4 linked regions of the Nothobranchius furzeri genome follow. The protein of the gene in region 1 interacts with the protein of each later gene in a pairwise test. Links are inferred from orthologs where the notes say so. Each region holds a gene or a part of one and is shown on either strand. Other genes may lie near its edges.

Region 1 (7,927 bases):
TGTCGGACGCCCTTCCAAGGTGGCGCTTACTCTGGACTGGAGGCCTGGGGGTCAGGGACCGGGGCTGAGATGGGACCTGGGACTGTGGAGGGCCCTGAGGCTGTTTCTGAGGCAGCAGCAGGTGACATGGCTGGGACCTGGATGGAGGCTGAGGCCATGTTTGTCAAGGTGGCTGTGCCTGAGGTAGAGGGTCCACTCCACTGCAGCCCCCTCTTCTCCAGTCTTAGCTTCTTCTTGATTTCCTTCACTTCTGCTCTCAGCTGCCTTCTTTCAGCTTTGAGGCGCTGTCGCTCGGCCTTGCGCACAGTCCTGTCTCCTCGCCTCGGGAACCTGGTTTGAAATGTCATCAGGAACACCTATTTGTTGACTATCAAAAGTTTATTTTTCAAAACAAAAACACAAAAAAAAAAACCACATCCCCACTCAGTAATCTAGCTGCTAGAATAAATTGCAATCCTGCCTTGACTTGATTTATAATCATGTTTTTCTTTATTAGTGAAGATGTGACAACCAAAAGGCAACAACTTTAAATTACAACAAGAAGTAGACAGATGATCCTCAGTTTAAAGTTTACCTAAACTCTCCTGACATTCCATGCTCAGGAATGGAGAGAGGTGTCTTGGTTCTTACGAGGCTGTGACTGGGGTCGTGGCTGTGTCTGCACATCTCACAGAGGATGCAGGAAGGACACACACTGCCAGGAAAAGACAGAATGTATGAAAACATGATGCATGCTAATAAAAATCTACCCCTTATAATACAAAATGCTACATCATGTTGTTTTCTTGGAAGTCTTTCATGCCTACCTGCATTTATAAGCCCCTTCAGAGGTCAGTTTGTTGCAGGTGCTGCAGTTTGGGGTGTAGCCAAGCGATCCATTCGAAGCAGAGGGGCCCAATCCGGGTTCCACAAGACCTCCGCAAGCACCGCCAACCTCATGGAGTCCATCTGAGGATTTGTGGGTACAGCACTGCCCGGAGAAGTCGTTGCACATCTTCTCCACTACCTCCTTTACAACTTCATCCTTAAACTACCATAACAAAAGACTTGTTAGCTTTAGCAGAAGCTAAACACATTAACTCACAGGAACTGTTTTATTTAAAGAGCAAGTCACCCCCAAATAAACATTTTTTGCTGATAAACTAAATAAACGAGTGTCTAATCGTGCTGCAGACACGTGTCGTCAATAATTTGGCACTTCAGCGCATCTTAGTTAAAATTTAAATGTTCTGCCTAAAACTGGCAGTGTTGTGCCGTTGTCAGGTAAAAACTCTGCACTGTATTCTAATTTAAATCTGCCACCGCTATTGGCTAAGAGGTATGCTATGATGTAAACTGGTACGTTATGATGTCACAATGCTGTCGTGAGCCTGTGTATTTGTTAGCAGCTCCGCCCTCTCGGTCTGCCAGGCAACAGCATTTGTTGCATTTTTCAAACATGAAGTGGGAGTGGAGTAAGACTCTGGTAGGGGTTGACTTGCTCTTTCAGTGTGCTCTAACCTTTTCCATGTACGACCTGAACCACATAGGAGGAGGCTCATCTTCGGGCCTGTTCCCTTTGTTGTCTTTTACCGCTACCTGTACATAAATACATCATACGTATGTCAATGAAACAACACGCCGAGACAGAAATTGCCAAGACGATTTGTCCTACTTAGAAGTAAAAATACTATTAAATAAAATTTAAAAATTGCACACAAAGCAACAAATAACTAAAATGTGTTGTTTCCTTACAGTTTCACGCTCTGGGGTGACTTGAGTGCCTTTTTCCACAGTTTTGACTCTTGATGGGTAAGGGGGAGCAGGGCGGAGGTCTCCTTTAAGCTCCTTCACTTCTGTCTTCAGAGGACCTCCACAGGCCTGTCCTTTCATCTTATACACGTTCATGTGTAACTGGTTCCCCTGCTTCTCTGCGCTCTGTGGAGATGCAATAACATCACATAAAAGTTATAAAAGGAAAAACACACAAGAGAGGAACGTGTTGTTTAGATTTGGCTACATCTCGATAAGCATGCTCCTTTGTCTTTTGAGTCACTAATGACAAATTAGTTGCATGGCAACCAACTAAATGACACTAGGGTCACCTTACCTTGATGGCTTCTTCATATTCATCTGAAAAGCAAACAAAAACAAATGAAAACCTACATATTCTGTAGGACATGCCAAAATAATCCCAAACTATGTTTTCTTACCTTGACTGTTTATGCAAATCTGAAGCAAGAAGATAAATAAAATCATGATTAATTAATTATGTCATCTTTTTAAATGCAAAACTTTCGCCACTGGCCCATTTTTGTCTTATCATTGCCGTTTCCATTTCTTACATTCAAAAATAAATTGCTTTATAAATGTCACAATCTTTTTTGGACAGCTATGGTCACAAGTTTCTTTACGAATTGAGACTGACAAAGCACAACTGATTAGGTAAACACTGCTGATTGATTTGAGTGAATAATTGGCATTCAAAGCTCTTCTGTCAGAATTAGTTTTCAAACTATTTTATAAACAAACTTAAACCCAATTAAAACACATTGTTTTAAGTTAAGAAACGAGTAATAGCAATCTAATAAGATATAAAAGAATTGTTAATTATTTGAAAATTAAAACACATTTTAAATAAATATTTGTAACAATTTATTTAAAAATAAAGTCTAATACTTCCTGACTAGTGGTCATACTGTATTTTAAAAGCATCTCACCTCTTCATTATCTTCATCAAAGTATTTGACTTGAAAGTAGTTGATCCCAAACGATGCTTTGATCTGAAATATAATGTCGAAGAGTTCGGGTCAGATTTACCTATATGGTATTAAATCGATCATTCATCAGACGGACTGTGACATCAATAATAGAAGGCCTTCACAGGAAAAAAAATACATCGAAAATAGAAATATATGTGTAAAAATAAACGTAGAAGCCCAAACTAAACGTATTATTTCCCGCAGCTCTTGGAAAAATCGGGTATTTCCGCATATCCCGTTGACAGTATCGATTGTCCTTCAGGTGCGCTGCTGCTCGCGCATCTAGGCCGTGTCTGGGCCTGCTTTTCACCAAACTGCGCCAGCTTTTAGCCAGCAGCCGCTTACCCAGGCTTCGACGGACTCCCACTCCAATTTGTCCAAATCCTGAGCCAAAAACCTCTTTACATTCCCGCGGAAGTTGACCTTGATAGTGACTGGGAGCCCCATGACAGCCTTCTACGCTTTTTTAACTGAAACCATTTGCGACGATAGCGGACAGTATGATCCCTGTTTAGCTCTAGACTGCCGTTTCTTGTTTACATCGTCAGCTGCGTCGAGAAAATAACAGTGGCGTCTCGCGCAGGCGCACTCGAGCATCTGTCGCGTGCTGTTGTCGTCATTTGTAAGCTGACGTGAGTGTGGCTGAAAAGCAAGGAGCCACACGTTTACTGCATATGCCGGTGGGACAATCTTTACTTACGTATTTGATCACGGAAGATGTCTTCACTCCTCAAGGTGGACAATGAAATCAAAACCAAGGTGAGACTAGCGCGAGCGAAAGCTCCAGTGAAGGCTTTACTATATGTTATTGTTGATTGGTAGCATGTTAGCCACATTTGTAGCATGATATGCGCCAGTTTGCTAACAATTAACGATTGCTAACGTGCTTGTTTCCCGCCTGCTACCATACGTCTGGGAAACATTTTAGGCAGGTGCTGGAAGAGATAGATGATACGTTTTTCTGATGGACGATGTGAGGTTCCATTTTAATTTTCTCACTAGAAACCAAATATTGCACCGCTAGACCCACATGCGCCGAAGGCCTTAGCTACCACTGGGCTAACTCAACGTTTAACAGACCAATCGAAGTTCTTGTTAAACCTTGATAAAATCTAAACATCAGAATTCATTGGATACTTTGCTTCGAATTGCACGTAACTCGCTTGTTTTAAGTCCAGGTTGGAAACGAGTATTCTTGTCTAATCTTATCTTATATATCTTATTTTATATACAATTTTTAAAAATGTTTATTTTTTTCTGTTAGACACCTGTACTCCAAGTTCTAACAAACCAAGAGTAGACTTTTCTTTATATGTAAAATAAACTGCTTTTCCATATATATATATATATATATATTTACAGCGCCTTGTCTGGTTGTAATGCCATGTTGAATGCGCTTTATAAATAAAATGGTATGGTATGGTATGGTATGGTATATATATATATGTGTGTATGTATGTATATATATGTATATACAATATATATATATATATATATATATATATATATATATATATATATAGTGATACATTTAATTTAGCTTTTTTCATTTAAAGTGTCATATGATTTAGTCTACTTGTCAATTCTGCCACCTGCTGACATCAATCTGTACTTTCATTCTTAAAATGTCATCTATGTCTAATGTTTCCCACCTCAATTAGTAATTGTAATGTTAAATGTGATTTCAGTATTGGCCACAATCACCCACTGCCCAATAATCCAGCTACCCTAATACACAACAATACACAACATAGGTCATTTTGGTAACATATTGTGACGTTGACACTGAGTTCTTTTATCTTTCCACTGTCAGTGTCTGCTACACCCTCCGTCTGTCACTTTCGAGTTTTATCAGCTCTGCTTTAGCAGTTCAAATGTTAAAAAAAAACTATTTCACATCAGTTTCGTGGGCTCTGTATTTGATTAAAAAAATGGAATGACTTCTGCATCATTTACTGCATTGACGAAACCAAAACACAATCTTAATATCTTCTGAAATGTAATTTTTTACTCGGTTAATCAAAAAAGGAACATTTTTTTATGCAACAGAATATAAATGGCGATTTCCTCGTGTGTGTGTGTGTGTGTGTGTGTGTGTGTGTGTGTGTGTGTGTGTGTGTGTGTGTGTGTGTGTGTCATTTGAAAATGTGAGACAAACCTTTATCGTGTAACACCACAACAACCTCTGTCAGTGTGCCCCAGAGCAGCTGTGGCTACATAGTAGCTCATTACCGTCAGTGTTTGAATGGATGAATGATACACTGTAGTGTAAAGCGCTTTGGAGTCCTTACTATGAAAGGCACTATACAAGTGCGGGTCATTTATCATTTACAACAGAGTTCTCACATGTCAGTGGTTGAGAAAGTTCAGAACTTTAAAAGGGCCCGTGAGAGCTGCAATATGTTTTAAAAGGTTTTATTAATTGGTCCTTAATAGCTAAACATAGTGCTCAACTAATACATTCTATTCTATTTGATCGTTTAATCTCACACATAACTTGTGAGTTTTAATTTAACCAACTGTCAAATGTTTGTTTTTTAACTGTACGTTTTTTCAGTTTGTCATTTTTGTGTTTGCAGGTTGATGCTTTCAGGGAGCGAATCTCAGCAGAAGTAAGTGGGAAAACTTGTTTATTTGTGGGGAGAGTTTGACCGACTCATCTTGAGGGGTTGGTTGTAGAACATCTGCAAAAAAATGTACATTTGTTTTTTCCAGGCGGAGGATCTAGTAGCAAATTTTTTTCCAAAGAAGTTGCTGGAACTTGATCACTTTCTCAAGGTAAACTGGTAGTTTTTACTTGTTAAAGAGCAAGTCACCCCGACCAGATTCTTACTCAACTCCCACTTTCTGTTTGGAAAATGCAAAAAATGCTGTTGCCTAGCAGACCGAGAGGGCGGAGCCACTAACAAATACACACACTCACGACATTGTGACATCATAATGTACCATCTAACATCATAGTGTACCTCTTAGCCAATAGCGATGGCAGATTTAAATTCAAATTCAGTGCTGAGTTTTTACCTGACGATGGTGCATCACTGACAGTTTTAGGCTGAATATTAAAATTTTAACCAAGATGAACTAAAATGCCGAATTATTGACTACACGTGTCTACAGCACGATCAGACACTCATTTAAGTAGTTTATCAGAAAAAAATATGTTAATTTGGAGTGACTTGCTCTTTAACAAACATTTCATTTCATGAGTTGATTTTGTAACAAAACTGCCAAAAGGCTGCACATTATGTTCCAGACACTGAATTCTATAATGGAAAACAAATCTGGTCTTTACCTTTCAGGATCCCTGCATAAACATCACCGAGCTGAAGGAGATCCACTCAGAGATTAACCTGACGGTGCCAGACCCCATCTTGCTTTCAAACCTTAATGACGGATTGGAAGGGGTGAGCTTTACTTTCCACACTAGTTACAGATAAAAAAAATAAATAAGCTGAACATCTAATCTTGCTGGATTTGTTTCACAGCAAAATGCCAAAAAGAGAAAGCTTGAGGATGGAAGTCGTGAAGACATTGGTCAGTACTGTGTGAATGGTCAGATGCTCATCTTTCTGGATGTTATGTCTGAGGCCTAACAGTTATTTAATTATCTTCCAGTGACGGGCACAAAGGTCTTCGTCATGCCTGGTGGGATGATGAAGTGCAACACAAACCTTGTGGAGCTTATTGAAAAGGTCAAGCCAGAGATCAGGACACTCATAGAGAAATGTAACACAGTAAGTCATCCGTGTCTGTCTCTTTCAATGTGTGTCCTTAAATGTCAACCTTACTGGAAAAACATTTTTTAATGATAATTCTTATTATAATTGGTCACTCTGAGATTTTTATGCAGGCGAAACATGAAAATGGTCTCCTACACCTATCTCCTGCATTAGCTTCTGATAGAAAATAGACGGTGAAACTCTAGGATTAGAAAATCCTGACAGATCTACGTCACCCTGTCACTTAACATTCATGGACTCACGACGGGGAAGGCTGTTGTTTTAGAGTCCAGGAAAGGGCAGAGAATGGCTTCGCTAGTAGAAGCTAACTGTTAGCATTAGTAACTCCACCACATTCCAGAACTCCTCCAGGCTTGTGTTATTTGTGGAGATGAAACATCAGTGTTGCTAAACAGAGTCACTGGTAGAATCGCATTGCTGTTAGCCAAAGAGATACGAGATGTCCAAGTATTTGGAAAAAAGACTCCAAATCCTGCTGTGTTCAGCTCCGCTTTGATCTGGCTCACTTCTAGATCCTGAAACAGGCACACTGGAGCTTTTTTTTCTTCAGAGCACAATTTACAAGGCATTCCTGCCTACTAGAGACCACCGCAGATGTATTAAAATATGAGTTAAGTTGATCATTTGTATATGTGTTGGTTTTACATCCTGACTAGCCACACCTCACGTATCACTGATGCTTTGTCACTCAAATTGTTTCTTTTTTCCCCGCAGGTTAAAATGTGGGTTCAGCTCCTCATCCCCAGGATAGAGGATGGCAACAACTTTGGCGTTTCAATCCAGGAGGAGACGGTAGCTGAACTCAGAACAGTCGAAGGAGAGGCTGCGTCTTACCTCGATCAGATTTCAAGGTCTGCAGAGGCTCCAAACATATGGATTTATTTCTAAACAAAGCAAAATGGTGTTGTGTATTTTTACAGTGTCCAAACGTTGTTTGATTCCTCTTTTAATCCTAGATACTACATCACAAGGGCAAAGCTGGTTTCTAAAATAGCCAAATATCCACATGTGGTAAGTAGTTATCTTAGAATGGATTCAGTTTTATTCCAAGTATTGGAAATAGAATTAATGCTAGAATGTTTAAATGTCCTAAACATTTCTCACATCATTTACGTGATTTTGGGTCCATGTCTGACTGTCGTTGAAGGCTTGATGTGATTTAAGCATTTTTTAGTCAAACTGCTGCGCCTTTCCTAACAAAGTGGTTCAAATTAGTTATGTGCCTTTGGACCACCTATAAGGTAGTTAATGTATTAAATATGTTTACCTCAGTGGTGTTGTGTGTTGCTGAAGTAAGTGCAACTCATAAAGGTTATTTTTGTGTGAAATTATTATCGTTATTAATTAAACCCTTTAGATAGCTTTCAGAACAATCTTATTGCTAAACAGGCTATATGACTAATAAGGTTTATGCCAATAGTCCTAAAACTACTCATGTTACAGCAG
Region 2 (7,932 bases), on another chromosome or scaffold:
CAGCTCAGCCAGAACATCACCATCAGTGGAAGGGAAGGACTTTGTTCAAATCCAAACATCTGCTTAGAAAAAAACCTCTTGAGTGATGATTTCTGCAGCTCGCTTTTTTTTTAAATGAGCCAAAGTCATTAAAACCATTTGCGTAGGAAGGCAGAATTCTACAAAACCAGATCAAATGGCACTAAAAACCAGCAGCTGCATCCAGTTATATTTGATCTAAATCTGCCACCAAGTTCCAGTGGTCAGCATTTAGCAACAACTAGTTTTTTAATGTTTTTAACAAATTTAATTTTGTTTTAACCTCAAACGGTCAGTATTATTATTGTTATTGTTATTATTATGTTTACTTATATCATAAAATCTGCAGATTAAAGGAAAAGGCGCTGATGTCACTGGTGCGGTTAACAAAAAACAAAACAAAAAAAAAACAAACAAACGCAGAAACACAACCATTCAACACCATTACATATGAACTCCTGCATATCTTTTACATGAGATCAACTCTTTGGCTTATTTCTGAACTAATACATTCACCCTCATGTCTTCACTGAAACGCTGCAAGGCATTAAAATGTAATACGGAGTGGTTTCATTCAGAATCAGAAATGATGGAATATTTGTTAAAAAGGGAAAAAAAACTTGTCTGAAACTAACTACATTTGTTTTCTTTCTCATCAGAAACCCTGATTTGTCATCATTTCTTGTCTCCATGGTAACTGCTTGTTATCTGACCTCTGATGTGGTTAATTAAAAGAATTCAACAAAACATTTTAGCTTTTCTGAACCCGTAGTTTTGAATTCATCTCTAAAAAATTGTGCATTATTTTAGGGTTTATTTGTATTTTTTGATGTTTCAATCAAATAAGAACTATCTTCCTAAAATGTTTTTAGAAACCAAATTAAAGCTGAAATTAGAAGGTCACCAGAAAAAGTAAAAACACATTTGTGGTTCGGGGTCTTTTGCTGCCCCCTTGTGGCCGGAAAAATAACTGCAAGACATTTATTGTTTAATTATTCCATTTCAACAAAATTTTAACCAGCATGAGTTGAATTTTGACGTGTTGTTTCAGAACCTAAAGCAACGTCGGACATTCCCAAAGACTAATAAAAATATACATTATCAAATTAGTTATAAGGAAATGTTTTGGGAATGAATGAAATAATCCATCCACAATAATCGGCACCTTCTCTGTTAAGACTTGGGAGGAAAAAAGTGCATTTTTTAAAATTGTTACTTGTTGCAGAGTTTTGCTGATTTTTCTGTTTTTTTGCTGTTTTTTCATCCAACTAATAAAACACTAATACGCATGGAGAGAAGACTTCCACTACAGGGAAAAAGCTTTTTCATACTAGCCTCATCATAAAAAAGGAGAAAAATAGATCAATTATGCAGATAAAACTAGTGTTTTTTATAAGTACTTAAAATATGTCTGAACACTCTTTATAATCTTCTACATCCTAAAGTAAAACTCTGTTTTTTCCTATACAAAACAAAATGCACATCTAATAAAATGCTATCCTAAGGTTTCTGGGTGGCTATAATAAAATAAAATGTTAAAAAAATACAGTCAAACCAGAAACTTAAAGCTGAGGTCAAAAATCACAGCAAGTGAACGCAAGAACCAGGAAGCGAGGAGGAGGAGGAGTGTGGAGGAGGAGAGCGACTTCAGTCGTCATCACTATCGCTGCCCGACTCGCTGAGCTGAAGATCGCTTCCTGTGGAGGAAAAAGAAAAGTAATAATCTAAGTGAGTAAACTAACTCGTCTGGAATGTATCATCTGAGGAAATCCTGTAATAACACATAAAAATGTGAAGGCACTAACTGATAAATGCAGAGATTTAAAAACAGAAACAGGAGAATCAGCGTTTACGCAGAGCTACTCACGGAGTGTGTTCATGAGCTGGTTGTTGCCCTGCTGCCGGTCTCCTCCGCCGTTGGTGATGGGGGTGCAGCTGGGGGAGGTCTGGCTGAGCGGTTGCGGGGGGGCGTCGTGCTCACCATCGCTACTGCTGCTGTCGTCGCCGCTCCCCGAGCCGCTGGCTGAATCGGACGAGCTGCTGCCGCTGCTGCTCATCTGCTCGATCACCTCCACCTCCGCCCGCAGCTCTGCCAGCGGCAGCAGGTCAGAGACATTATTGGTTCTGGGTTCATTTCACACCAGTTACAATATCCAGCTGATATTTTAGCTAGAATCAGTTTGAGACACACCAGTTCCATCTTGTGACAGAACCTTCTCACCTCGTTTGATGTCATCCAGCTGAGGCTCTGGGGACGGGTTGTCCTTCGTGTGGGAGGGTGAGGTTTTGTTCCCGGCCCCTGGTTTGGTCGGGGCTCGGAACTGAGAGCTTGTCTGGGAGGAACGGACGGACTGCTGCTCGATTCGGGCCTGGATCTTACTGCTGCCCTCCGCCCTATAAAAAATAAACACGGCAGACTCACCAACTGTTGCTCCTTTCTGCTCCCCACTTTAGAATGAATGATTTATCAAGTGTGAAAAAGTAATATACAATTCTCCCACCTTGTTTTCTTGACCTGGATGCTGCTGCTGAGCTTCTCCAGGACAAATTCCCCCGTGTCGTGGTTAATGATGAGCACACAATCCTTCTGATACAACCGCTTGTTTCCTTTAAATACCGTCATTGGAGGCGTGGAGCCCTGGAAGAGTATGTAACTTTACTTGATCCTTTGATTTTTCTTAATAAAATCATACAAAGGGGCTTTTACTTGTTTATTTTATTGGTTCCTGATGTAACTAGATGAAACTGAAACTACATTTAAACATAATCAACTATGATTACTCAACCTAAGCTGCTATCTGACTTTGTTAGCAGAGGGAAAGCACTTGATTGACACTTAATAACATTAATAATGTTGAATAACCATAACTGTGAGCCAGCTGACACAAATGTGAGAATGGTGCTTTGTTGTTTACGTCTCTGCAACCTTACTGGAATATGAGGTAGTGTTATGGTAACTTCATCTCCTTTCCCAACTTGTAGCTCTCCCTCACAGCTCGTGTCGATCGATGCTGGTTTGAAGTCATCTAAGAATAAATAAATAAATTAGGCATGAATCAAGTCCTTTCACTGCTTAGAAAAACTTAAATAAATAGAAAAAGAAGTAAATTATATAATTATTAGAGATGTATGATATATCTGCATCAATATCGAGTATTGGCCGATGTTAGTACATTTTTAACATACCAGTCCGACAATTAAAACTGGGCCGATTTTAAGAACTGATATTTTTTCCATCTTATTTCCGTTTGTGTATGTTTCAGAGGGTAAGGGGCAGTTATGATGTGTAATTGTTGAGACATGTGACCGTGATGGTAATCATCTGGCGACGGTGGCACAGGAGTTAAGTGCTCGCCCTGTAATCGGAAGGTTGCAGGTTCGAGCCCCGCTCAGTCTGTTGCTGTCGTTGTGTCCTTGGGCAAGACCCATGTTATCTGCTGGTGGTGGTCGGAAGGACCGGTGGCGCCAGTGCTCAGCAGCCTCGCCTCTGTCAGTGCGCCCCAGAGCAGCTGTGGCTACATCGTAGCTCATCCCCACCAGTGTGTGAATGTGTGTGTGAATGGGTGAATGACTGGTTGTGTTGTAAAGCACCTTGGGGGGTTCCAGGACTCTAGACGGCGCTATATCAAATACAGGCCATTTACCATTTACCAGAAGCGTACGTGTGTGTGTGTGTGTGTGTGTGTGTGTGTGTGTGTGTATAACATAATGCAAATTCAACTTCATAGAAATAAAGCAAAACATTCCAAAATTCAACTTGCATAATTTCAGTCTATTCAAAATCTGCTGATTTCAGATGCATAAAACGGTATTGGCCAATATTGGTTATCGGCCATAACAGTGATACTAATCTCGGTACCGGCCCAAAAAATTCATATTGGTGCATCCCTTATTATTATTAATTATTTAGTTTCTAAAAATGAAAGAGATTCAAACTTAGCTAATCACCCTTATATGTTTTAAATTATAACTTTGCTTGACTCTGCTAATATGACATTAATTTACAAACCGGGAAATATTTAAATAATGTGCTGCTGGTATTTGGGTGAAATGTGCATTTATTAATTATTGGTCACACTGTCTACTTGGCTTAGGAAATGTTTAAATAAACAAAGCAAAATTAAGTAAAAGTTGAATGATGATCAGTTAATAATTGATAATAACCAAGGACTTAAAAAAAAAACATTAAACCCCACAATTTAACTTTCTATTTTTTACATAATAAACACATTTCTGTTCAGCAATTTCTTTCAGTTCGGTGTTTTGCAGTTCATACATGTAAATCAAATTTTCTCATTTATTGTGTACTTCTGTAACCGTAATGAATGTAATAGCTGTATCACTGTGAGCTAATTACTTCCAACCAACAGCTGACTTTACTAAAAGCTTTTAGAAACACAAAGTGGTCTCTTTCACACTCACATCTGATGGTGTGAAAAGATGATTTTGGCCTTTTCTCGAAGCTCTCTCCGAGCTTCAGAACATGTTCCTCTTTGTCCAGCAGTGGATTTGTGTTTCCGTTCATGACTTCGTCTGGTTGAAACCGGATTAAATTTTACATTTGTGTTACAACCGAAAAACAGAGCTATATCCAGCAACTACCGGAGATGATAATCTAAATAAAGATAAAGTTAGCTTGCAGATGCTAACCTTTAGCAAAACAACACTTACGTCACGCGACTGCAGCTTTTTCGGTGTTAAGTGAAAAACGGTTTACTCGTATATCAGTGTGCGGGTTTTCCGTTCTGAATTCTTGGAAAATAAATATGTTTACCTCATTGAACAATTATTCAGTTATTAGTATTTGACTTAAGTATGAATTTATTTTTACCGAACACAGATTAAATAATTTTAAAAAGTAATATTTTCCGTACGTTTTTGCCATGCTGTGATGACTAATGTTTTAATTAAACTATCAAAAGTTTTCAGTTTAGTTATTTTATTATCAGATAATTGGTTTAAACAACAAAGTTAAAGGGGAAACTCGCTTAAAATAGGAGGAGAAACTGTTGTTGTGAGGAAACATATCTCGGCGTAACACTGCCTTTGGTCCGAGCATCAAATACCACCGACGGAAAACCAGACTGGGTGTAAGTGATTTCAGAGCTGTTAAAAATATTTGTAACTTATTTAAACAATAAAATTGTACAGTCAAAATTTATATTATATTTTGTATAAATTTTGTGTTTTAAAGCGTTGACCACCGTGGTATTTTTTTTAATAACACCAACCGGTACCGGTGTCATCGATGCTGCACAAGATGGATGCCAAGTGTGGAAAAATATTACCTCCTTTTTCTTCCTATTGAAGCTTATATAAAGCTTTATTTTATAAACAAACTATCAGAGAGAACGGCAATCTAACACAACAATGGCGTTAATGACAAATGAAAAGTGCAAAGTTGAAGACATTGAAGAAGTGGAACCCGAAACAAAGGTGGAGTCACGGGGACGAGAAACAAAACTTTGCTCTGTCAGAGATTTAACTCCAGAGGAACGGGACAGACTGAGCAGTGAGCGGACGCTGGTATCTGATTTCAAACAAATTAAGCTGGAGAAAGAAGCGCAGAAAAATTGGGACTTGTTTTATAAAAGAAACACCACGAATTTCTTTAAAGACAGACACTGGACCACCAGAGAGTTTGAGGAGCTTAAAGCCTGTCGGGAGGTGAGCGGATAAGGGGTGTTTGATTAAACTTAGCATATGTAGTGTAGAATGAACTTAGTTTATGTAAAGAATATCAACGTTTCACAGTGATTTGAGGCCAAACGGACAACAAAGTGATGATTTTGGGTCACGTGGTCTGTCTCTTTGCAGTTCGAGTCCCAGAAACTGATTCTGCTGGAAGCTGGATGCGGGGTTGGGAACTGCATCTTCCCCCTTCTGGAGGATGACCTCAACATCTTTGTTTATGCCTGTGACTTTTCTCCTCGGGCAGTTGATTTTGTCAAAGTAAGGTGCTTAACTGTGTACTTGTGGAAATCCACCTTTTCTAGCACGTCTAGTTAATCTTAGTGCTCTAGAAGTTAAAAATAAAAATGAAAAAAAGCTTTGCTGCAGTGTAGCTGCCTTTGATGCCATTTGTGGTAAAACCCGGTTCAGCTGCCTTAACAGGAGATTTCAAGGGCTAAGAGTAACCAAATGGGAAAAAAACAGCATTTAAAGATGTAAACATTTGTTTTGTTATTTGTTTTTATTAATCAGGAAAACCCTCTTTACTGCACTGAGCGCTGTTGTGCTTTCCAGTGTGACTTAACAAGAGATGATCTGATGGAAAATGTCCCAGAAGGCAGCGTCGATGTTGTCACGCTCATCTTTGTCCTGTCGGCCATCCATCCCGACAAGATGAAGCTGGTTTTGGAGAACATCAGCAAGGTAGAGTTAAGAGCTGAGACCACCACGCACAATTCACTCAATTCAGGTGGAACTTAAAGGTGCAGTAAGTAAGAGTGACATCCTGTGGTCAAACATGGTTACTGCAGTCTATTTTTTTGAGTACAAATCACTTTTTATGCAAACCTGCACAAAACTGGCATTCAGCGATGTAACAATCTACATGTGGCTTTAAGGTGCTGAAGCCCGGTGGTGTTGTCTTGTTCAGGGACTATGGCATGTACGACCACGCCATGCTCCGGTTTAAATCTGGAAACAAGCTTGGGGAGAACTTCTACGTTCGCCAGGATGGAACAAGGTCCTACTTCTTCTCCAAAGGTCAGCAGAGTATTTCTGTTCAGTCAACTCAGTCTCAAGTGAAAGAGGGGACATGTTGCACATTTAAAATTATTGAATTGATTATATATGAATTTGTTTTTTTTTTCCTCCTCCTGGAATCTTGCTGTTTTCAACTTTTCAGAGTTTCTGGCTAAGCTGTTTCTGGAGGCGGGCTTTGACCTTGTGTCCAACGAGTACGTTCTGAGAGAGACGGTAAACAAGAAGGAAGGACTGTGTGTTCCGAGGGTTTTCCTTCAGAGCAAATTCATCAGACCTGCACATCCACAGAGCTCCTGATGTCACTGTTAACTCACAAATCTCTAAGGGAAGACTGACATGTCAGGTTTGGACTGGATGGAAAAATGTACAAGTTCTGTATGATGGGAAGCCATCATAGGACCACAAGGGGTTTGGGGACATTTTAAAAGAAAGTGTTCACTTTTCTTACAAAATATTTATAAGCTGTGTAACATTTACTCTGTAAATAAATTCTGAGCTTATTCAGCTCTGATGTTGAGTTGAGGGGAAGCATTTATTTTTCAGGGGCACGTGGTGGACAGTGGGGGTTGTGGACATGGCAGGGCACGGGTGCCCTGTCTGTTGAGTAGATCCCAAACAGGTGCCTCCTGCCCCAGAAGATGTTTAAATTGTTTAAAACCAGTGTTGTGCATCATGAAGGAAGAGGAGAGCCAAATGTTCAAGGATAAAAGTCTGTTAAAACCAATTTCTCTGCCAAAAGTGGAAGTGGCACCACAGGTAAAAACAGACGTGTAAGGTTTTTAAAAGATTAAAAAAAGTGGATAAAATCACATTTCAGGAGCTCAAATTGCTGCTTGCAGATGTCAATATAAGCCTTAATCACATGTGGTTGGAGCGCAATGAGACCAGGGATCTTTCCTGAAATATCCATTTATGGTGGCTCCAGGAAAAGACAAGAGTGAACGCTCTTCTCATCTGCACATTCCTGACACTGGAGTCTAAGCGTGGTGGGCGTGTCTGCATGTTGTTCACTGTAACAGGTGTTTTGCAGTTCATACGGATGCTGATGCATGCATGTTTACAGCACTTCAGAAACCCTTTCCCCACACACTTTCAAAGTGAAATGCTATGGTGTTGGCAACAGGGAAATGGTTCTGAGGGTCTTTCCCTTTTATTATTTAGCTAAAAAACCCTGAAACTGTTTTATGTTCCATTGTTTAACAT
Region 3 (8,006 bases), on another chromosome or scaffold:
TGAGTTTTCGTGACTGCACTTTCAAAGTATCTGGCGCATTATGGGGCTAAAGGAGTGGCGTGACATTTTGGAGCAACTTTTAAACACTTACTTAGAATATTGTGACTAAATCAGGGGTGTCAAACTCATTTTAGCTCAGGGGCCACATTGAGGGAAATCTAGACCAAAGTTGGCCGGACCGGTAAATTAAAAAAAACTTCAGATTGTTTTCTTTGTTTTAATACAATCAATATAAAACAAAGCTGGAGCCTGAGGACAGGGTATCCAAAATAGTACGACACCTGAAGTGTACTTGAAAATTTGAAAAAATAAAAATAAAAATCAATCAATTAAAAAAACATTCCTTAGTGATTCAAAGAGCTTACAGATCACATGGCTAGATCAGTTTCATGCAGCACTTAAAATATATTTGACTCATTTTACTTTACATCTTTTAGCTTTCACCAGCACATCAACATCAGAAGTCACATCCTGAGTGGCAGCCGACTTCAGGATGTGATTCAAGTTCTTGTGTGAGCCTTGAGCGCAGCTTTGTTTTATTTATACTCATTACAGAGAAAACTTGCTCACAAAGATAAGTTTATTTTCACTCTACATTGTAAAGTATGAAAATAAAGTTTACACAACCATCTCGCGGGCCGGATCCGGCCCGCGGGCCGTGTATTTGACACCCCTGGACTAAATACTTGGAAATAAGGGGAACAAGCGAATCTAGGTTTTGTATATCATAGAAACATTAAATTTTTGCTTCCCAACATACTCTGGTTAAGGACTCAACAAACAAGATAAGGTATCTGCAGGTCTAAATACAAAATAATGTGCTGGCAGGTGGGTTTGTTGTCCCTGGACACATCTGGCTGGTGCATGTTGATATTCGTGGTACATGTTGTAGTAACTGGAACGCACTGACAAATAGTATGTAATAAATTTGCATCAGATGGTTTGATGGGAATTTAAATTATCCAAGTTAAATAAACAAAAATGAGACTATTCCAGAGAGTAATTGTGAAAATGGCTTCCATTATTACTGATTTCATCCAGGTTGGTAGAGCCTGCTCAGGCTCCGCCTCTCCCAGCAGACAGGTGCTATCCTCAGATTCAATAGGAATCCTCTGCTGTGACTGGAGGATTTAGTTGCTCAAAAACCGTAAACCTCACCTCCTGCAGTCCAGGGGCAACCCCTAAAGTAACTGATATCACCAAAGGACAGTCAGTGTTTACCTCCATCCATGGAAACAGACCCATGCTGTTGTCTTTTCACACGGGATTCAGGATGAAACAGGAATCCGGTCTTTTTATAATTTGTCTTGGTCCATTTTCAAAGCTCGTCAAATTTAAAGGGTTCCCATCACAAAAGACTGTCCCTCCTCGGTAACCGGATAACAATAAATATGAGCCATGACGATTGCCCAAACAATCCTGTTTTCCATTATATGAGGGCTGCATTCTGCATCTTTAGGCAGAGCTGACAATTAGTGAGTCGACATGGACGTGGACATATGCACTATTTCCTCATGTGGACCATGACACGAGACAACTGTTGTGATCAGCTGGTGATCACACACTTGTGTTAAAGCCTGACTCTCCACTTGTTAGATGCTGACCTGCTAACTAAGGCAAGAGAACATATGGTCTCAGTAAATTTCAGGCAGAGTGAAGGATTTAAGGCTTAGGATTCATTAGCAGTTTAAAGAAAGGAAAAGAGATTATTTTAACAGCCACAAGGTTCATGGAGCTCAGAGCTTCTCAGAGCCAGAGAGGCTCAAATCTGCGATCAGTAAGTGTTTCTGCTGCAGCTCATTACAATCAGAGCTGCAGGATGTCCACATGCTGTGTCTGAGGCGCTCTGCCCAGTGAGGCTGGTAATTTGGTTCAGATAGAGGAGCCGATGTTTGTTAAGGACACTAATATTACAACAGAACAGGATCAGCAATTATTATGAGAGTCAACCCCATTCAAGATGGCCCCTCAAAGCTAACAGCTATAACCCAAAATCATATGATCTCAGCACTGAGGGCATTTGCCCAAAGAACAAAGGTCTTTATTTTTATAATTTACAAGGAATAGTTCCCCATAGTTTTTTGAGGGGAAAGTTCAAATCTCTTCTTCAGATGCAGATGGCATTTTTTTATTTCCTGCATTGTTGATCAATAATATTAATGTCAGAACTTTGGTGCCTAATAGTAGCTGGAGTGTAGTCTCAGTCATGCAGGACGTGGTCATAATGGAGGATGTGATGATTATTTGATACATGTCAATTCTTCTTCTAATGGCTTTTTAATTCAGATTTTGGATTATAATAACTTTTCAGGTGAGTTGATGTTTATTTTATTTCATGTAACACTGAACTTTGTACCAGTTTATTAAAATACAGCTTTTTGTTTAATTACATTTATGTTTTTTCATCCACAATATCCTCAGTGAACAATATTGTGCTTGTTCTGCAATATAATGTTCACTTTTTCCACTTTTGCTATTTCTCACTCATAATATTACAAGAGCAAAGACTTGCAACCCTGATAAAACTTGTCTAACAACACAACTATAGATAAAAAACTAGCTAAACACCTGAAATAAGGACCAAAAAAAGCTTCACTTGAAATTGCTATTGTTGTGTCAAATTACATAGTGTATTCATTTTTTATATAATTCATTTTGGAGCACATCTCCAAACCTTAAACTTGTTTTTTTTTTAATGATTATTATTTTTTACTTCAGGTGAGGTCATGGCCCTAACTTTGGGAAACACATAAAACATGAGCGTCATTCCAAAATAAACAAAAATAAACAAACCAAAAACTATGTGTTGTCTCTTATTTACCTCAAATGATAAATAAAACAGAAATTTTTTTTCAGGAAATTATGAATTAAAAGTTTTAATAGCTGTGGGTATTTACATAAGTTATTGTCCACATTTTAAAAATTGTCACCTTTTCACTGTAGCTGCCCAATCAATACAAGTGCTTAACTGACAGGTCTTCATCCAACCAGAAAAGCGCAAAAATCTTGTCACCCAATAATAATTAGGAGACTTTACTAATGGGCGGGACTTAAACGTTTCTTCTGCCAGCATTACCTGCGTTTGGCATCAAAAACACGGAGGAAACTTTTGTATACGGTTCGTGTTAGTCAGAATGAATGGGACAACTTTCTCCAACTTTGACAACCAGGAACATGTCCTGAAATTGGGAGAGACGTTCGAGAAACACCCCAAAAGCTCTTACCACACAGTGCGATGTAAGTGTTTTTTTATTCGTCGGTGACGTCTGGCTTTTCACTGTAGCTAACAGACGCATGCTAGTTAGCATTAAAGCTAAACATGCTGAGATTACCGTTTGCCATCCGGCATACAGTTCTATCGCCGCGCTCGATTATATTTCTCAGTGTGCTCCTTCAGTGTTCTGCTAAATTGTCGGCTTTTATTGTGGAACTGTCAGTTTACGTGAATAATAAAAGCCATTGTTGCCATTAACCGTGAAAGTGCCAGCTAACGTGTTAGCGCAGCAGCGTTAGGTAGGAATTTAGCACCACCTTGTGGCTGGAAGAATGAACTGTATCGCCAAAACATGTATTGTCTAGTAAAATGTAAGTAAGTAAGTAAAAGTTTATTTATATAGCGCCTTTCACAGATATAAATCACAAAGCGCTGTGTTTCATGTTTCACTCGAGACCTTTTTCTACCTTTATCTGTGACAGATGACTTCAAACCAGCATCGATTGATACAGCATGTGAAGGAGAACTTGAAGTTGGCAAAGGAGACCAAGTCAAAATTACTTTACCAAATTTAGAGGTTAGTAAAATAAAACAAAAACCTTAGAATTTCTGTCTCTTTATTCAAGACAGAACAATTACAATGATTAATATATTTTACCGTTTTCCTTCAAAATACATTTTTATTTATTTCAAATTGTTTTTATTACACTCTCAATTAAGGGCTGGGCGATATGGCTTAAAATCAAAATCACGATATATTAAGGATTTCACCTCGATAACGATAAATGGACGATAACTACATGTATGCACAGAAACAAAAGTTGTCCACTAGATGGGGCTGTCACATGTATTGAGTCATATTTTTACATGACTCAAGGTGGTGCAGCTTAAAGGGACATGAACGTCGCCAACCCACACACATTTTTTCATTTTTTTAAATTAGCAAATTTATTGACATGGGAAAAATTCTCGTTAACAGTCAGAAATTTTGATAACGATAACTTTTCGATTTATTGCCCAGCCCTACTTACAATAAATTACAACTATCTTTAGCACCTTTTCCTTCCAAGAGTTAAACTTTAATATTTTTAATAAAAACAGACACGTATAATTTAATATTTTGGTTTTCCTTTTTAAGGGTTCAAGTGCTCCTGTTACAGTCTTCAGTGGATCTAAGAGGCCTTACATGAAAGAATGCATCCTCATTGTGAACCACGATACAGGAGAGTACAGACTAGAAAAACTCAATAGCAACATAGCCGTGAAGAAGACCAGGTGAGATAAAAAGGCTTCCTTATTTTTTAAAGCATTCACTATTATGATTAGTGATTTAATGCAAACCAATGTGTTGATTTTTTTTTTTTAGAAAAGCTTTTCTTTTAGCTGTTGAAATTAGATTTGATCCCTTCTAAATTCTTAACCAAGAAAGATTTGCACAGAATTGGCAAAACACTTAATTGTTTTAAGTGTATTTAACCCAAAGTAATGAGTAGAATTTTTAATTAGAAATGTTCTTTATATATATTTCCCCTCTTTTATGTGACATTCCAGGGCTGAGGGCAGCAGTAAAATCCACTCTCGTCTAGAGCAGCAAACCAGTCGCCTGAGTCAGCAAATGAAGAGCAACAGCAGCGGCACGAGCAAAACCTCATCCAGCTCCAAGAGCTCTCCCCCCAAAGAGAAAGCCTCTTCACCTTCACCGATGGATGACATAGAGAGAGGTGACACAGCTTTGTTTGTGTTCATTAAGGCTGTACGTCTTGGTTGTGGTTGTGCTCCATCAATATGCTTATTTCTGTGTGTCTGGAGCAGAGTTGATGGCAGAGGCGCAGGTCATGGATCAGCTCAGCAGTGGCGACAGCTCATCAGAGTCCAACAGCTCGTCCTCCAGCAGTGACGACAGTTCAAGCAGCAGCGATTCAGAAGAGGAGCAGACTCCTGCAGCGCCCTCGGCCAATCAGAGCATGCCTATCATCAACACCAGCTCCACCAGTCGCCTCCAAGAGAGCGGGGGAGGACTCATGAACACACTCAGTGAGTAACCTCGGTGACCCTGCAGCTTTTGCCCACATATGTGACTGAACCAGTTCTTTTTTTAAACACTAAGTTGTTGTGGTTGTGCATTATTCTTGCAGACACACATGGATTTACTAAGTGAAGGGATTACAATGATCTGCCGTATCTCCTGTGTTTTAATCACGGCCTTTTTTCAAACTTTAATGTATGCTAAATACATTTTACAGTTGAGTGTCTTATAGAAAGAACTGTAGATGTTTTACTGTTGTCAGGAGGTGAAGATTTCAGAAAGGTTGCACACGTCAGGGAAATTTCCCAACACCTGCTGGAATTTCAGAGTCTGAGGCTGAACCACAACAAAACCCTGCTGCTGTTATTATAGCTGGAGGTTAAACTGCCATTAGGGCTGTCGCAACAGCTGTTATGACCCTTCATCTCTTGACTAATTTAATTATCAGTCAACTCTTCAGGATTTTCTGTCAAAATAGAAAAATAGTTATTTTTGTTTTTCTTTTATTTTGAAGTCATTTGTTCACCACAAACAGGAAATGTCCTTGTTGGGGTTAGGGCTCTCCTGTTGGAAGATAAAATAGGACTCATGAGTATATTGTAATATATAAATTCTATATTTTATATGTGGTTTTGATTGTAAATGAACATAGTTGTTAACATCTATACAATTAAATGTGCTTAAACTCAGAGGTTTATTACACACACTTTAATAACGGACTACGGTGTGTTAGGGTTATGGTTGGTTTGGTACTCTGTGATTTATTGACAGCTGTGTCTGGCCCAGATTGTTTCTTCGTCTTCAGACTTTGTGGGGAAGATTCTTAACTTTTTTATTCTGTCATGAAACCTTTTCTGCCACAATGTGGACAACTCGGATACTCTCTTCATGGCAGTTAACCAACGCCTTCTGTATATTTTATCAGCTGGAAACCTGTAACTTTGACATTACTGTCCTTTCGTCTGTTTGTGCAGCCCGCGGCGCTGCATGTGTTAACCAAGCTGACAGATTTTAGTTAACCAATTATTGACAACTGACAGATAACACTGTTGAACCTTCTTCTGACCCTCCAGTCTGAGGCTGGGAGGCTCGTACTCTTGATGTCACGTGTCAAGGGATTTATAGCTACCACCATGACAGTGTGCAGTCTTAACACTTCTTCAAATATCTCCTTGCAGAGAATGACCTCCAGCTGAGTGAATCAGGAAGTGAAAGTGACTGAAGAATCAGGATGAAGGCCAATGTGAGGAAGACTGGATGAAGGAGCTTGTCACAAACCTGTTCACCAGGATTGGTCTTACTCATCCACTCATCTGAGTTTTGTCTTTCCACCAACAAATCTCTGTAGTTTTCTGGCTCTGCTCATGCTGTAGTGATTCCTGCCTCTGGAGTTAGAAATGCATCTCCTCTAATGGCGGTGCTTTAAACCCACCAGAGGCAGGACAGCTGTCATTAGAGTCTAGACTCTTATGCTTCTGCTTTTCACGTTTACATTATTGAGCTTTCATTTTGAAGTTTCTGCTAGCCTTTTTTGTTTTATTTTGTAGCACTAAGCAGCAGAAATTAAAAAAATATATATAATTTCACAAAATATCCCTTTAAACCATCAAACTTGACTTGTGAAGAATGCATATTTATTAATTTATCTCTTGGTCTTTACCATTTCCAAACAATACTTCATTTTTTTTTTGTGAGAGTCGGTAAAATATTTTGAACTTAAGTCTACTTGCCACATATCAGAGAACATCGTCTTAAAAATCAAATATGGTGTTTGCTACAGTACTAAATGTTCATCAGAAAGCCAAAGCAAGATGGTGAAATGATTAATAAAAGCAGTCGACTGTAGCGGGAGAGACAGCTTTTATTCTGCGAACCTGCACTCATGGACTCTAATAGGGTCTTGCTTTGTAGCTTTAAACCTGTTATACTTGAACTTAATTATGTATCCTTCTACACACATTTGGCCAGTAACTAACTGGTTCTGTGTTTAGCTCCATATGGAAGCAACTGGAAGCCAGATGTGTTCTTACTGCATCAGAGTGAGTCTTAAAGAACTGGAAATGCCTCTTTAGTTTGTCTCAGGAAGTCAACTGCAGGCCTTCCTCTCTTGGTGTCTTTTCCATAAGTGTCTTTTGTCCTCTGACCTGTCTCATCAAACGGGAAGCTGCGGTTTCTGTCCCAGCAGTGCTCTGACACCGACTGTATAAACCCAGAGACGGGGGTCCAAAAAGCCTTAATTAAAACACCTGTTGGTCTTAAGAAAATGAACACTTATTTGTTAAATATTTGAGAAGATTTTTGTCAAATATTAAAGATTTTAATTGTTTCTTGAACCTACCCGTTTGTGTCATAAATGTTCTGATGCAACTCATGTTGTGTAGCACAAATACAAGTTGCTCATTTATCTCACTATTTGCATCGCCAAGCACTCGACGCTGACATAAACATGCTGCAGCCTGGAGTAATTAGCCCTCATCATCTGATCATGCTGGACAAACTGAAGGCAGACTGGGTGAGCTCTCTCTTTATATATATATCTATATATATATCTATATATATATATATATATAATATATATATATATATATAATGTATATCGATGGGTGAGCTGCAGGTCTTACTGGATAAAGAACAAAGTCACTTCCAAAATTCAAATCAACGTTGCATCAATCAAGGACTAATATTTTGGCGTCTTAATCAGTCCCTTTTTCTCTGTAGGAATAATCCTTTGTAACTATAAAAAAATAAACATGACCTCGCACACAC
Region 4 (7,230 bases), on another chromosome or scaffold:
TAGCGACTCGTTGCTTTCTCCCTCAACCCAAATCCTTGGATCACGCATTTTAGCTAAAACGCTAACGTTAGCTTGCCTTGCGTTGACATGAGTTGTGGATGATGGTCACACAGATGTGTCATGAGATTTGAAGCGTTACTGCCTTTCACAGACACTTTTTCTGCTCGTGCTGCAAACAGGATAGCCGTCTTCTATCAACTGTCCCTCGGCATTCTTCAAATATCCAAAAAATGCCCATACTTCCCACTTTGTCTTCTTTGAGGGATTATAAATGTCCTGTGCGCTGCCATCTCCTCCTTTGGCCATTATTTCAGCTTTAGCTTCAAGAAAGTTTTGGTTGTAAACAACAAAGTGCGCATGTTCCGCCGGCAACTTCAGCAGATGATACGGTGGCTGGTAAGGGTCACCGCGCCTACACCGCAGCCACGGTAATCCACCGAGATAATACATTTTTTAAAAACAAGACGGTTATTATTATTGTCAACTTTTTTACCGGGGTTTACCGCTACACCGGTTACCGTGACAACCCTAGCTTGAACTGAAGAAAAGGTGGCGTGGGATAGTTTTTATAATTGCCATATTTTGGTTTACTGGTGGATCAGAATTTGACATGCCAAAAGAGGGTTTATACAAACACCACAGATAACCACGCCTAGCCAGAAATGAAGGTTCTGATTGGATCAGACAAAAGGAAATGTGTTGTGTGACTTTAGCATAATGTGTCTTTAGTGTCTAGTGCAAATGTCCAAGATTATAATAACTTGTAAAATACTACTGTTCACAGGATTATAATATCAAGTAACAACATTGTCATTTCACAGATTGATTGAACATTGGGCTCACATTATTTTTGGTAATTAACAAAGTTGTTGATTATGTATTTATCAAAATAGTTCTTCGTCCTCGCTTGGTAACAAAGGTGAAGCAGTTCAGATGAGCAGAGTGCATGAAAGACCTTGGCCACTATCTCATGTAGATTCGCCTGTCTATGTCTCTGCTCATGCAGACGCAGCAGATCATGACCTTTAGGTCATAAACAGGACATTCATGACGCTACACTTTTAATGTGCGTGCTTCACCATCGGGGACAGTTTTTAAGGTCATGCTAAAGACTTTTTTATTTGATCTGGCCTTTATCCCGTGGCCGTTAGTCTGCTTGTATTTTCTTTTATTAGTGCGATTTGTATGCCGTTTTAATTTATTTTTATTTATTTTTGTAATAAATTAATTTTTGTTTTAATCCTTGTCCTGTTATTACTAATACATGTCTGTACGGCGCTTTGGTGTCACCCCTGTGCCTGTAAGGCACTTTAGAAATAAAGCTTGAGCTGATTATATGATCCATGTTCGGTTAAGTGGTTTGGTCAAACTGAAGTTGGCCAGACGGGGAGGAGGGAGTTGGTTTTACCTTTTGACCCCACTTGCCACACGAACCAAGCTCCTCCTCTCTGTAGCGTTAGACTTGTGCTCCTGTCTGGGAGCTTTAACACAACACAAAAGCCTCCCGAGTCCATCTGCCTCCCCTCTAATTGTTGGGTCTCCGGGTGGGTGAGCTGATATTGGTGCAGACAATATGTTGGTGTACTTTTACCCAACAGCAAGACAGCTCAAGCCTAAAAATGACACCCAGCCTGAGAACTAGAGCTTTAACAGCCTGTTTTCTGAGAACTGCGCTTCGCTTCGTCTGCAGCTCATTTTGACGCCTACCGGCAGAAGCATTTCTGCTGTGTTAAATCTAAAACCCTGCTGGGAGCCGACTCGGTTGGCTGACGGGGAGAAATTACATGTGAGCCTTCAGATTCTGAGGAGGTGAGCAGGATTATCATATAAAACAGGCCATTAGGCTTAATAGCAACATTAGGCTGCAGCTTCACAGGAACGATCTACAGCAGGAGACTGGGATTAAATTAAAGTTTGTTTTTAAACGTTTCATGAAATAACTTGTTGTGTTCTTGTGCATGCAACAGCATCATGCAATAAAGTCCAGAGCAAATCATCTAACAGATAGAAGTAGCATGTAGCTAATAAAAGCAGAAGCAGGAAGCATGTTAGAACAAGAGGCAGTAAAATTGCATGTCTCATATCCAAGGAGGGTAATGGGTTTGACCTTGCAGCAGCGAGAGTCCCAGGCTTTGACCACTGAACTGTAACCGCCACACAGGAACACATCTGGGCTGTCCGGGTGCAGAACCACACACATCACCTTAAACTGGTTGTCCACTTTCACTGCCTGCTGTCCTGTAGACGAGAACAGAGCCAGGATCAACTTACTGATATTCTCCATGAAAGTGAGAAGTACACGCAAGTTTACAACTTTTTAAGCAAATTATTTTGTAATTTTAAAAGCCATTTAAAGATAGAAGCTATGTTTTTTTCATTTAGCAGAATTGGGTGGAAGGATCAATCAATTAAATCCAAATAAGAATCAGTCAATTCATGAACAAATTCCCTTATAATAAGTCACGTGCAATTGTGATGGGTTGAAATGTTCTAATTACTGTTTACTGTGTTTACCAGTATGTGTGATTTAATGAATAATAAGAAACGGGTTCATTATTGTTTACATTTGCATTGTTTGTCAGTACTTTTTCTGTTATGCATCTTAAGCTTCATTGCAATTTAGTCGTTGTAGTAACGAAGTGTGGCCACCGGAGGGAGTCTAGCGCTAGTGAGCCTTAGAAGAGAGCACGACCCTCCTGGCTCATTCAATACACGTTTGAGCAGAGGGAATAACGTGTCCGTGTTTCTTTTATCATTTACTCCCCTTTTCAGGGGATTTACATTTGGAGGCACCGCTGGGATCGTGGTTGCGAGGCTGGAATCCTACGGTGTAGGAGAACATCCCACATAAACCATCCCATTAACAACCCGGGTAGTGGAGGGTGGAGCTGCAAGCAAGGTGACGCCAAACCAAGAGGACTGTGCATTCTGAGGTGCTAAAAAAGAAAGCTACTAGGAAGCATCAGCTCTGCGGTAACTGGCTAAAACACTAATCTTCAGCGCACCTCAACACTTTGGAAAAAAAAAAAAAAAAACGAAAAATGGATTCAGAAGTGGAAAGTCTACAGTTTGAAATTAAAGGAGCCCTCTTCCAATTTACCAGCGACCAACTGATCAAAATATGTAATTATCTTGACATTTCTGGAACAAATAATGAAAACATCATAGGGAAAAGTCGTAATTTTATTGTTTCACTGATCAGCAAGCATATTGAAAGTGACAAACTGAGCCAACTAGAAGATGCAGGAATGTCAGTACTATTGGAATTATTGGACATGATAAAAACAGTGCAGGAAGATGAGGAACAGGAGAACTTGAGCAAAGAACTAGAACAACTAAAACTCATAGTTCAACAGAAAGAAGCTGAAATGCATATGTTGGCCAATAAAAAATTAAAGGACACTGAAACCGGATTGGTCCAGGCTGCTCCTGCCTATATAAACAGCGGCTCATGGAGGAAAGACTTCAAGATTTCAGGACAAATTGGTGACCCCGGCCAAAAGGACAGACTAACATTTTCCAGCTTGGCCCGCCAAATAGAGAATGGTCTCAGCAAAGGTTACCACGAGTCAGAGATAGTGGATGCTGTTATAAGGGCAATAGTTCCTGGTCTACAGCTGCGCAGCTACTTGGAAGGAAAGAGTGATCTGTCCCTTCCCACTCTTAGGAGAATCCTTCATTCACATTATCAAGAGAAAAGCGCAACTGAGTTATACAAACAACTTACCACAGAAGTGCAGAACAGCAGAGAAACACCACAGAACTTTGTTATTAGAGCAATGGATCTGCGACAAAGAATATTGTTTGCTTCCCAAGAGGCTGAATCTGGTCTTAAGTATGATCCGGCACTGGTACAAAGTATGTTTATGCACACAGTTCTCACTGGCCTTCAAAGTGACTGCATAAAGACTGAACTCCAACCACATTTGTTGAAACCAAACACCTCAGATGAGCTACTCCTTGAAGTTCTAAATATCGCCTGTGCTAATGATAAAGAAAGACAGGATAAGAAGAGAGCCACAACACAGAGATTTACTGCTGTGCATGCAGTCCAGTCCAGTGACACAGGTAGTAAGAGGAAACCTGTGGAAGATCAAAATGTTACTACACTCCCCACCGATTTTCTGTCAGACCTGAAAGAAATTAAAGCAGATATGCTTTTGCTAAAGGACCTCAAAACTGAGGTTGCACAGATCAGGGAATCCATCCACAACAAAGAAGAGAAAAATAATACACAACCTGCAGTGCGCCAAGGACCAGAGTATGGTTATCCCTATCACATGTCAAATACTCACCCACAGTTTACCACCTGGACCAGAGAGGGTGCAACGGTTCCTCATCATCAGAGAGGGCCTCTACAGGAATACCAAGGTCCAGCTGATCCAGGATTGATGAAAGGAACTGCCCAGTTTCAACAAAGATTTGCACCACAACAATACCCGGTGCCACGTGCCAGACCGAGGTGCTATACATGCCAGGAGCAAGGAGAAAACTTCTGCCAACATTGCTACAGGTGTGGAAGTAGTGAACATTTCCAAGCTGGCTGCAGAGGGAACAGAGGCATGCATGCTACTATAAGGGAGTATCCTTTAAACGAGGGAGGGTTGCCCCCGCGGGACAGGGAGTGACCATACACACCAAGAGGTCCCTAAAATGTGCCAGTTGTGGAGGAACGGAAGGAGAAAAAAGATTTGGACAATGTTCAGTGTGCAAAGTGATGCTCTACTGTTCCAAAGAATGCCAGGAGAGTCATTGGCCAGAACACAGAGAGACCTGTAAGCCACCCATAACAACCGTTAAAAAGACACAACTATGCAAAACAACGACAGGGAAAAAGAAAAGTAGTGTCTCAAAGAAAGACACTACAGTAGTCGACCTGGTGGGAAAGAAGTGTTTCATTAGCTGCTACCTACAACAAAAGAAAACAGAAGCGCTCTGGGATACTGGGTCGCAAGTTTGTGCAGTTGATGAAGCATGGAAAGCTGAGAACATTCCAGATGTTAAACTCAGGGACATAGCAGAAATTGTTAACCCAGGTGATCTACAAGTTGAGGCTGCCAACGGCACAGAGATGCCATACGTAGGATGGGTAGAAGTGTTGTTTAAACTAGCAGCTGGTCCGCAAGAGTTTTATGTCCCAGTGCTTGTTATGAAAGGCAGCCAACTTTCCCGCCCCATTATTGGTTTTAATGTTATTGAACACATTATTACTAATGGTCAGGCTGAAATGAACAACAATGAAGCAAAAGAGGGGTTTTTAAAAAGTGTAAAAATGGCTTTCCCAACTTTAAAAAGGGGGAATGAGAAGGCGTTCATTAAAGCGGTAAGGGTGGAACGAGCATGTGAGTATCTGGTTAAAACAGCATGTTCGAAAATGAGTGTGCCAAGCCATAGTACTCTCCAAGTAAAATGCAGAATCAACGTCAGACCATTCAAAGAGGACACTATGTTGGTGTTTGAACCTGATGGGAACCCACTATGGCCAGAGGGGCTCCAGTTTTGTGACACTCTGCTTAATGTACGAAAAGGTGTTCAGCCTAATATTGTTCTTAGTGTACAAAACCCCACAGATCGCGACATCACGTTAACAAAAAGAGTAGTTATCGACACTGCACAGCCAGTCATATCTGTGTATCCAGTCAACACAGGAAATGACTCGCAGCTACCCGTGTGCATAAATGATATCCAGACTCACAATAGTGAGGACCGGGAAGCTTCTACAGAACCGTGGGAGCCTCCTATTGATCTCAGTCACCTGACTGAGGCTCAAAGACAGATTGTACGTGATATGTTAAAGGAGGAGTCAGATTCTTTCTCTCGATCTGACAATGACATTGGGTGTATAGAGAAGCTTCAGTTAAAAATTGAGCTAAAAGATTCAGAACCAGTCGCCCGTACTTACATGTCAGTCCCTAAACCGTTATATGATGAAATGAAGGACTATTTGACTGATCTGATTGTGCATGGATGGATTGAGAAATCATACTCGTCCTATGCCTCGCCTGTCGTTTGTGTCAGGAAAAAGTGTGGTTCGATGCGTCTTTGCATTGACTACAGGGAACTGAATCGAAAAACACATCCTGATCGGCAGCCAATTCCAAGAGTTCAGGACCTTATGGATGGTCTTGGTGGAAACACCATGTTCTCTCTGCTTGACCAGGGAAAGGCATACCACCAGGGGTTTGTGGCAAAAGACAGTAAACATTTGACCGCTTTTGTCACCCCCTGGGGGTTATATGAATGGAATAGGATCCCATTTGGGCTAATGAATGCACCAGCGGCCTTCCAACGCTGCATGGAAGAGTGCCTTGAAGGGCTTCGTGACAAAATATGCGTCCCATATTTGGATGATACACTCGTGTTCAGTAAAACATTTGAAAGTCATGTCAGTGATGTTCGAAAAGTTTTGCAAAGACTCAGACAACATGGAATAAAATTAAAACCCAGCAAATGTGAGCTGTTTAAGACTGAAATCCGCTATCTTGGAAGAATAGTATCAGCAGAGGGAAATAAAATAGATCCTTCGGATACTGCAGCGGTCCGTGTTTTAAAAGATAAAGAACCAAAAACTGTTGGTGAGTTTAGGCAAATTTTAGGACTTCTAAGCTACTACCGTCAGTACATTAGAGACTTTTCCCGCATTGCTGCCCCTCTGAATGATCTGACCAAAGGGCCAGGTAAAGACCAGAGCCGACCACCCTGTAAAGGGAAAAAATCACAAAGCTACACTGAGATAAAAGTAGTGCCATCCCACACTCCAATTGAGTGGACAGAAGGCCATCAACAAATTCTTGAGAAGCTGATTGATTGTTTGATTCACCCACCTATTCTGGCATTTCCAGATTTCTCTCTCCCATTTGTTGTTCATACAGACGCTTCCAGCAAAGGCCTTGGGGCTGTACTGTATCAGAAACAAAATGGAAAGTTACGTGTCATCGCATACGGATCCCGGACTCTGTCAGCACCAGAAAAAAACTACAATCTCCATTCAGGCAAATTGGAATTTCTTGCTCTTAAATGGGCTATCACAGAAAAATTTCGCGACTATTTGTATTATGCCCCATTTTTCACAGTTTACAGCGACAACAACCCATTAACTTATGTGTTGTCAACTGCTAAGCTAAATGCTACAGGGAGTAGATGGGTTGCGGAGCTTGCTGATTTTAACTTCACAGTGAAGTATCGGCCAGGCAGAGAAAACATTGACGCTGATAGTTTGTCCCGGATGCC

The links.
Region 2: the proteins of psme3 (region 1) and eaf1 interact in binary tests that used the Homo sapiens proteins (3 or more experiments, as listed by UniProt). The two-hybrid records come from large-scale screens. The link is inferred for Nothobranchius furzeri from reciprocal best matches to the Homo sapiens genes PSME3 and EAF1.
Region 3: the proteins of psme3 (region 1) and eaf2 interact in binary tests that used the Homo sapiens proteins (3 or more experiments, as listed by UniProt). The two-hybrid records come from large-scale screens. The link is inferred for Nothobranchius furzeri from reciprocal best matches to the Homo sapiens genes PSME3 and EAF2.
Region 4: the proteins of psme3 (region 1) and wdr25 interact in binary tests that used the Homo sapiens proteins (3 or more experiments, as listed by UniProt). The two-hybrid records come from large-scale screens. The link is inferred for Nothobranchius furzeri from reciprocal best matches to the Homo sapiens genes PSME3 and WDR25.

Annotation. Positions count from the first base shown.
Region 1 is NC_091756.1:48,474,036-48,481,962, reverse strand, and holds the start of psme3 (proteasome activator complex subunit 3), read left to right. Parts: upstream 1-3,328; 5' UTR 3,329-3,458; coding exon 3,459-3,500; intron 3,501-5,320; coding exon 5,321-5,353; intron 5,354-5,456; coding exon 5,457-5,519; intron 5,520-6,040; coding exon 6,041-6,145; intron 6,146-6,226; coding exon 6,227-6,275; intron 6,276-6,356; coding exon 6,357-6,475; intron 6,476-7,195; coding exon 7,196-7,332; intron 7,333-7,437; coding exon 7,438-7,492; intron 7,493-7,927. Other genes in the region: nbr1a (NBR1 autophagy cargo receptor a), read right to left, coding at 31-330, 575-694, 807-1,030, 1,501-1,578, 1,735-1,917, 2,090-2,112, 2,193-2,211, 2,700-2,762 and 1 more. UniProt on the Homo sapiens protein: Subunit of the 11S REG-gamma (also called PA28-gamma) proteasome regulator, a doughnut-shaped homoheptamer which associates with the proteasome. 11S REG-gamma activates the trypsin-like catalytic subunit of the proteasome but inhibits the chymotrypsin-like and postglutamyl-preferring (PGPH) subunits.
Region 2 is NC_091745.1:66,977,520-66,985,451, forward strand, and holds the start of eaf1 (ELL-associated factor 1), read right to left. Parts: upstream 4,733-7,932; 5' UTR 4,544-4,732; coding exon 4,441-4,543; intron 3,045-4,440; coding exon 2,950-3,044; intron 2,657-2,949; coding exon 2,520-2,656; intron 2,413-2,519; coding exon 2,240-2,412; intron 2,108-2,239; coding exon 1,886-2,107; intron 1,716-1,885; coding exon 1,666-1,715; 3' UTR 1-1,665. Other genes in the region: tRNA N(3)-methylcytidine methyltransferase METTL6, read left to right, coding at 5,389-5,685, 5,836-5,970, 6,223-6,393, 6,588-6,729, 6,872-7,026. UniProt on the Homo sapiens protein: Acts as a transcriptional transactivator of ELL and ELL2 elongation activities.
Region 3 is NC_091754.1:31,266,686-31,274,691, forward strand, and holds eaf2 (ELL-associated factor 2), read left to right. Parts: upstream 1-3,051; 5' UTR 3,052-3,134; coding exon 3,135-3,237; intron 3,238-3,696; coding exon 3,697-3,791; intron 3,792-4,352; coding exon 4,353-4,489; intron 4,490-4,765; coding exon 4,766-4,935; intron 4,936-5,026; coding exon 5,027-5,248; intron 5,249-6,418; coding exon 6,419-6,462; 3' UTR 6,463-7,318; downstream 7,319-8,006. UniProt on the Homo sapiens protein: Acts as a transcriptional transactivator of TCEA1 elongation activity. Acts as a transcriptional transactivator of ELL and ELL2 elongation activities. Potent inducer of apoptosis in prostatic and non-prostatic cell lines.
Region 4 is NC_091758.1:28,450,246-28,457,475, reverse strand, and holds part of wdr25 (WD repeat-containing protein 25), read right to left. Parts: intron 2,239-7,230; coding exon 2,108-2,238; intron 1-2,107.